Linked DNA regions of Danio rerio. The protein of the gene in region 2 interacts with the protein of the main gene of each other region in a pairwise test. Links are inferred from orthologs where the notes say so. Each region holds a gene or a part of one and is shown on either strand. Other genes may lie near its edges.

Region 1 (4,540 bases), on a different chromosome or scaffold from region 2:
ATGTATCCTGAATGTTTTTCACCTCTAATAATCATTATCTGTATAGGAATGCAATTATCAATGTTAACATATTCAGGACTGTAAATTACTCAAGTAAAGGCACAATCCCACCAAGATAATTCATATACATAAGTGGTAGTAAAGTTAACTTTATTGTCCTTGACAGGAAATTTGTTATGGTCATCACCATATTGCTGCAGACATTCCATAAAACAAACAATAAAAATAATGCAAAATACAGTAGTTTTAATATTACAATGCTAATTAAGATAAACTCTTGTTAAATAAACCCACTGAAATGGGTACAAAGGATTTCTTATACAAACAATGTTTAAACGCAGGCTGCTGTTGTCCTAATACTTTGCCATTATAGTTGTTGGTGGTCTTTTTTTAATTCTATATTTAAAAAGGTCTATAGGTTATACTGCAACTAAATACATTCTGGTGTAGCTAGAATGAGTAAAATGAGATGTAGAATGAATACCCTCAATTATTAACTGAATTTACACAAAAAAAATGCAATTTAACTTTAATGTTTTACTGATTTAGAAAAGTAAATTCGGCTTGTGCACATTTTCTTCAGTTTCTTCCACCGATAAATGTTTAAATTCATTAGGCACCAACATATCATAAATTTATCAAAAAGTTGAACATGTGAAGCTAATATATATAACTCCCCGTGTAAACAACAGGTATCCAGATAGGATGTGATCCAAGCTTGCCTTCCAAAATGTAAGCAAAAATACAGCACTTTAAAGCTTTTACTCACGCTAGGCTCTGTCAGTGCCCTGTGTGTCTCATTATCGCGGTTCAGAGAGTTTGAAATGCAGCCCCTCTGAACGCCACTCATTTCATTCTTCCTTTTAAGTAACAGGCGCTCGGGGCGTTCGTGACGGGCGATCAGACAGACCGTGAGCGCGCGCAGATCCGCCCTCCAGACGCCATTTCTCGGACGGTGTGGGGAGCTGAAGCAGCCTTTACACCAATCCCGAGAAGGAAAGGAGGACATAGAAAACAGAATTTTTAAGAAAGGTCTTCTCGCTCGTACTGTAGCGTGAAAGACGCGCGCGTCAGAAAAAAGAGCGCCGTGCAAGGCGGGAAACTTTATGTTTCTAGATTTTTCACAATTCGTTGTTTGTGAAGACGTGTTGCGGGCCGCCATTTTTGTTACAGCTCTCTAAGTCTGCTTGGAGTCAAAATTAGAGACACAACTCTTTCGTGCTTTGGGGCAGAACGCAAAGAAGAACTCGTTTTTGGAAGCAACTGACGTACGTCGGCTTGAATTGTCATGCTGAGCGATTTAGTAACATATTATGGCGCTGTTTGGCTCCTCTTGAGCGGACGGTGACTGAAGACGGCTAGCTCAGCTAACGCGTTATATTGTCTCATAAGCTGCAGCTACTTTCACGGAAGAGAGAGCGGAAAGGGGAACTTTGATTCCAAATACGTGTATTTGAGCTCGCTCTGAACTTTTGGGGTTATTTACACCTCTCCTAAAACCGCCGCGAATCTTGTGTTGGTGGAAAATTTAGCAATGCATCAAAGTTGGTTGACGCTAGTCGCAGCCTGTCTGGTCAAACGTCAGGTTGCGGTTCAGTAGGACTGACGGGTCTAGAAGTGCTAGGTCGCTTGTAAGAATAAGCATTTGTTGTTTTAATTTATTGCTCGTTTTGCTTTTTTTCACCCGTGTTCGTCAGTTACAAGTGTATTTCGAATAAACATGTCGTCTGCACGGTTCGACTCCTCAGACCGAGCCAGCTGGTATTTCGGGCCGGTTTCGAGACAGGAGGCGCAGAATAGGCTACAGGGACAGAGACACGGGATGTTTTTAGTGCGAGATTCGTCCACTTGTCCTGGTGATTATGTACTTTCAGTGTCCGAAAACTCCAAAGTTTCGCACTATATCATCAACTCTTTGCCAAGCAAGAGATTCAAGATAGGCGATCAAGAGTTTGATAATCTACCCGGCCTTTTGGAGTTCTATAAAATACATTATTTGGATACGACCACCCTGATAGAACCAGCACCAAGGTAAGAGTTTTTTTCATTTACTTTTGACATCGTCACATCATCCACCCCTCTTCTCAATAATGTTCTTTTCCCTCCCCTTCTCTTCTGTGGCAAGCCGTTTAAACATTCGAAGTAACCAGGATCTGTTTTTATTGACTCATTTTTGTCATCGTTACTTGCTAGACTATATTTTTAAGTTGCATTAGTTACCAGTTATTACTCATCTATTTTGTACGTTTTCTGTTGCAACAATACTCCAATACCCAGTAGTGTATTGTGTAAGTAACCTGTAATTGCAACGGAAACTAAATTTCAAATCTTTGCAAGTTGAAGCTTTTTGGATGTTTCTGGAAATGCTTTCAGTTTTACTTTTAATTTGACACTGGCATTTATATTTTAGCTAATAAGTAACACATTGCATGGTTTTATTGTGGTCTGACTACTGTGGTCTGCTAGTAAGGTTATTTTTGAGCTATCATAATAATTTTTTTTTCACAAAGTGGCAAGTAAAAAAAAGTTGTTACAAGATAAATATTGCTAGTTACAACTAGTAAAACTGGAAAGACAGCAGTTTGTTACTAGCATAATTTTCTTAGTGACTGTCCTCTAAAAATTTGACTCTACTAGTCCATTAAAATCATGTTTTTTTGTATAGCCAATTCAATTATAAAGCAGAATTTTTTATATTTTGATGTTGTAATTAAAACGTATTATCAGAGATAATTTGACAGAGATTCGGCTTAGTTATGATTAAATATTATTTTGCTAAATATTACAACTTATGATTGTAATGAATGAATCATTTGGAAACTTTGTACATCTGTCAAAAATGGACGTCATCTGCAAGTCTTTATAAGTTGATAGTAATGTAAAAGTATTGATTAGTTTTGGCTTACTTGCTAGACAAAAAGTATCATTAGTTGGCAAAAATGCAATCTCAATAATTATTTTCCATATTGACAATATGAGCAATTCCATGCAAATGTCAACCTTGCTATGAATTTTTTTTATGTTTTTTACCAAAATAGCTAAATTCTTTTTTTGTGTGTGTGTGTGTGTGTGTGTGTGTGTGTGTGTGTGTGTGTGTGTGTAGGCTTGTATTTTACTGGACTGAAAAATCAATTATATTTAATTTATCAAAGTCGCACAAGTAGCAATTTTACATCCGTCACATCCATAGCAGAGAGACGTCACATCCATAACTAACTTAACTTTTTTTTTCAATAAATACAAAAATGTAAAATAAAATCAAGATTTTTTTTGTTCTATAGAGAGCCAACTCTCATCCTTTTAATTAGCATTATTTCATTTGAGTTTTGCTGTTTTAATTCACATAATTTCTTCAAAGTATGCTGTATACTGTAACTTGCAGACTTTTTTGGTCATATCCATAACGCATGTTTATTTTCCTCATTTAAAGTATGAAAAATGTTTACAGATTGATATTTTTTAGATCCCTTAACTTGGTGGTTAGTTGTTTTTGATTGTTAAAATATACTTTTTTCTGTGAATTTATGTTTTGAGTTTTTGTAAATGTTATATCTATAATGCTGAAATTGCTCATATTTCGATGCAAGTTGTTAATGCTTCCAGATGTAAAAGTGTATGCCAACAATGACTGAAGTCACAAAAATTAGAGGGACCATTAAATGGCATAATATATGTTTGGCCGATAAATTTTTGGTGGCCGAACATTGGGTGCATCTCCAATACCAACACACTTTTAGATACCCATTGTTGCACATTTCTGCTGTGTAATTAGGTCAATATCAAGTAAAAAATTTCAGAGCTTATCATTGATATAAATTTTCGCGACTCGATATAATACAGTTTATCGGCCCAGAATTAATCATTAGCATAAATTGATTCACTAAGTGTAAGCTATAACTGTTAAAACTGCTTGCCATAGGTTTGGTGGCTGTTTAGTATTACTCTTACAATGAGAGTAATGAATTAAACATCTGTAGTTCCCCTCAATTTTGTTCTGGTTCTTTATAAAATGTTCTTTTTGAGATGTGCAGTAAAGAAAAATTAAGTTATTTCCCTTTAAGATAACAGGAAGTTACTCTGCATGTGAAAGTGCACATCGAGTAGATGATTAAATATTACAAAAGGCCTCCACTAGCGAGAAGCTGATTAAAGTGTTTGCTTTTAGATGGGCTCTTAAATGCTGCTTTTCTAGTTTATAAGTCGATCCTAAATATGATTTGATTGTTGTTCTACAGGTACCCCAGTACTGCTCTGCCCAGTGGTCCTATTCAGCCATCTGGAGGACTGGGTGATGAGAACCAGGAGTATGTGCGGACTCTTTATGACTTCACTGGCAGCGATGCTGAAGACCTTCCTTTCAAGAAGGGTGAAATCCTAATAATTATGGACAAGCCTGAGGAGCAGTGGTGGAGTGCCAAGAACAAAGAAGGCCGAACAGGCATGATTCCTGTTCCCTATGTAGAAAAGCTTGTGAGATCTTCGCCTCATCCTGGTCAGTCCATCCATGGTTCACGGAATTCCAATAGCTATGGCATCCCTG
Region 2 (3,824 bases):
GTGTGGACTGGTGTTGGAGGTCCTGAAATATCAGAGGGTGTTGAATATGGAGCATGTGGATGCATCCGCCGGAGGGATCCATGGGTAATATGATTACGCCATCCTATGCTATCTGCACCAGGGCAATCTGATAATGATAGGGTAAAGACTTGTAAATAAATTTGATCATGCACAGATGAAAATGGATGCAGACGAAAAATATACAGTCTTTTTAGCATGCTTTCAAAAGCTTCACTAATAGTCCAGTACTCTGCAATAACTAATTAGAGTTAAACTGAAACAACTTTACCAGTCCTCACCTGTATTTGAGTCAGAGGTGAAATGCTGAGAATGGGGGTCAGTTTGGTTTTCTGTAGGTCCACTGGCATGGTGCACCGGGCCGGGGCAGGAGGCAGATGGAGGCGGAAGAGGAGACGTAGACTCAGACTGGTAACCCGAGGCATATCCTCGACTCTCTGAGGGTGAAGGCTGGTAGGGGGAGCAAGGGCACGTCTGGTGTGGTGTCTGGTAGCCACTGGAGCTGCTGCTGTATTTAAGATCCAGATGGGCATGAGAGTGAGAGCGGGAGGGTTCTGGGTATGCAGGATGGCCTGCTGGGAGTGGATCAAAATTAAACGCAGGTAATTCATGACCGTGGGGCCCGTATGGGGATACAGTAGCCCTTCTGTGCCAGTATTCAGCCTCACGTTCTCTCTCCCACTGTAGTTCTGCATCTCTGTCTCTGTCCCAGTGAAGAGACATCTCTCTTCCTCTCCTTAGTCCTGGCTCCCGCTCCCATATCTCTGCCCCTCTCTGCATGTCAGCCTCTCTTGTCCGTCTTAACCCATTATCCCGGTGAAGCTCTGCCTCTCTCTCCCAGTGTATTCCATCCTCTCTGTCCAAACGTAAAGTGTGGAACTCTTCTCGTCGTAGAGCACAGTCTCGACAGGGGCAGCCGGGTGTCACTAGGCCATCTATCATCATGACATCATGGTAGGGTCCGCTGGGTTTGGGATGGTGTGAATGATTGTGATGATGGTGAGGATATGAAATGTACTCATCTGGTCTACAAAGCAGTCGGGGGGACAGACTGTGTGGATGAGAATTGATCTCTTGGGATGGATATGGATACAGGTGGCGAGATGGTCCCTCTGAACAAGTGCGATGCAGGTAGTGCTGTGGACCTTGCTGGCGGTCCCAGAGCAGGTCTGGAGGAGGAAGGGATTGGTGAGGATGGGTGCTGTGATGTTGGCAAAGTCCTATGACAGATGACATACCTGGAGACAGAGCCCCTGTGTGTCCATTAGTGGTGGTGGGCCGATCAAGGCAATGGCCATTGGGTAAATGATGAAATCCATTACATCCAGGCTCAGCACAACCCTGAGATCGGTAACCCACACGACAAGAACATGAACGGCCTAACCTCAGAGACCCAGTTCTTTCAGGAGGCAAGGAATCACCATCATCCAAAATAGCCGTCTCTCGGTCACGGTCTCTCAGTCCATCGCCTTCAATCCCACCCAATAGCCGCTCAAGCTCCTCCCTCTCTTGCTGAGTAGGCGGGGCCGGTCGAGTCGGTTCATCGAGTCGATCAGGAGGAACAGATGAGTGTCCGGAATCAGTGCTAACAGACAAAAGCTGACTTGGTCTTTCCTCAGAGCTTCTTGCAGGGCTTCCATTGGTCGATGGCAGAGAGGAGCAGCCAGCAGCAGCGCGGCGCTTTTTAACCTGTGCATACAAGCTGCCATCTACAGGGCCACGTGTATGAGCAATATCTGGAGAGAAGTAATTGCAAGATCAATATTTGATGCATAAAATAATTTTAATAATCTATACTTTATATACTTTGATTCCACAATTTTAAGTCATTATGAAATTTAAAGTCTACATTTATTGAATTAAAAATATAGTAAAAAACATCAGTGTAAAATATTATTTCAACCTATTAAACAAATTAAACTAAATGTTTTCTGTAACACTTTATTTTAGGTTACAATTCACAGTAATAATAAACCATTAACTAGCCCTACTAGTTTAATAAACTACTAATTAGTAGTAATGGGAAGTTCCAATAATTTTACTGACTCTGACCTTTGAGTCTTGTTCATTGAGATGAATGAATCTTTTTTTCGAGTCATTTTGTACAATTTGCCAAAATATTATTAAATGTTACGAGTTGCTTCCAAACTCATCTACAAGCTCGAACGTTGATCACACTACAAACATGTCAGCTCACCTTTTCTGACAGGTCTTCAAACTAGAGTGATTCGTTCATGTCGTGCTGACAGTCCCATATACGCTTAACCAGAGAACACAGTCCAAGCCGAATAAAGCCATGATTAGTTCACCTTTTGAGTCTTCTGGTTTTTAAATTATTCGTTCATCACGTCACATGACAGCATGTAAAAAGAGATGACTCAAACCCAAGGGCTCGAGAGATGAATGGATCAAATCTTCTTCCGGCTCTTAATGCATATGATTGGCTTCTGTCTTTCATGTGATGAACGAAGGACTCAAATCGAGGACTCGAAAGATGAACGGATCAAATCTTTTTCCAGTACTAAATGCATATGATTGGCTTCTAACCTTCACGTGATGAATGAAGGACTCAAATCGAGGACCAGAGAGATGAACGGATCAAATCTTTTTCCAACTCTAAATGCATACAATTGACTTTTGTCTTTCATGTGATGAACGAAGGACGCAAATCAAATACTCAAGAGATGAACGGATCAAATCTTTTTCCGGCTCTAAAGGCATATAATTGGCTTCTGTCTTTCATGTGATAAACGATACTTGAAAGAAGACTCGAAAAAGCAACTATTTTTCTACTCCACCAGCACAAATGTGCACACGCGCAAATGAAACAAATCACTCCCTGAGAGGACTCCTCCCTGAGTCAGACAAAAGATTTGCTTAAAATGAACGAATCGATCAAGAACGACCCATCACTACTAATTAACTGTTTATTATTAGTTAGCAAGCTAGAAGTTAGGTTTAGGTTTTGGGTAGGATTAGCGAAGCAGAATAAGATCATACTTTATAACTACTAATGAACTTTTAATATTGAAATAACAGACGGGTAATAAGCCAGTGGTTAATAGCATAAGTTCTGAACTAAACTAAAGTGTTACCATGCTTTCTACCTTATTGCTTTTTAAAAATGTAATTTAATAAAATGCTGGCTGAATTTGTAGCAGCTATTACTCATTTTCCCATGATTTCTCAGAAACCGTTCTTGTATTCTGATTCTGGAGTATTTCAACAGTTCTACTGCTTAGTAATTGTGTTGAGCTAACTGGTTTACATGAGATTATTAGTCTTTTGCAAAAGTAAAACTTTTATAGACAATTTCATGCTGAACAAATGCATATATTTATTTTAAAAAGCCAAATGTATTATAAAACAGTACGTTCCCTCTGAATGCTTGCATAAATACCAGTGTGTGGTTGTATGAATGAATAGTAGTACCCTCTAGGCTGTCCTGATGCCTCTGATTGAAGTTCTCATATGAGTCCCAGCGCACCACTGGATCATTTGTGTTATAGTCCACACTGACAGCTGGATCATTCCTTTGGCTCACTCTCCCTGAATAAAACACACACACATAATGTGGCCCTGTCATTTTAATGGAAATTCTGCACATTAGCTCAAGGAAGAAAACTATTTGTCAAACAATGTCATGGTCCCTGAAAGAGAAATTAAAAGGTTAGTAAGATCATCTGCAGTTTGAGCAAAGTTTTACATTACCTTTAATTTTCTCAGGCCCAGATGAAAACACAAACTCCACTATGGCATCAGGGGGAAATTTGTCATCTACAAGAAACAATAGGAACTGAGAGTGT

The links.
Region 1: the proteins of tns2a (region 2) and crkl interact in a two-hybrid assay, tested with the Homo sapiens proteins (2 studies listed by BioGRID and IntAct). The link is inferred for Danio rerio from reciprocal best matches to the Homo sapiens genes TNS2 and CRKL.

Annotation. Positions count from the first base shown.
Region 1 is NC_133196.1:20,315,823-20,320,362, forward strand, and holds the start of crkl (crk-like protein), read left to right. Parts: upstream 1-1,435; 5' UTR 1,436-1,720; coding exon 1,721-2,031; intron 2,032-4,235; coding exon 4,236-4,540. UniProt on the Homo sapiens protein: May mediate the transduction of intracellular signals.
Region 2 is NC_133198.1:10,676,526-10,680,349, reverse strand, and holds part of tns2a (tensin-2), read right to left. Parts: intron 3,796-3,824; coding exon 3,730-3,795; intron 3,568-3,729; coding exon 3,451-3,567; intron 1,755-3,450; coding exon 300-1,754; intron 128-299; coding exon 1-127. UniProt on the Homo sapiens protein: Tyrosine-protein phosphatase which regulates cell motility, proliferation and muscle-response to insulin. Phosphatase activity is mediated by binding to phosphatidylinositol-3,4,5-triphosphate (PtdIns(3,4,5)P3) via the SH2 domain.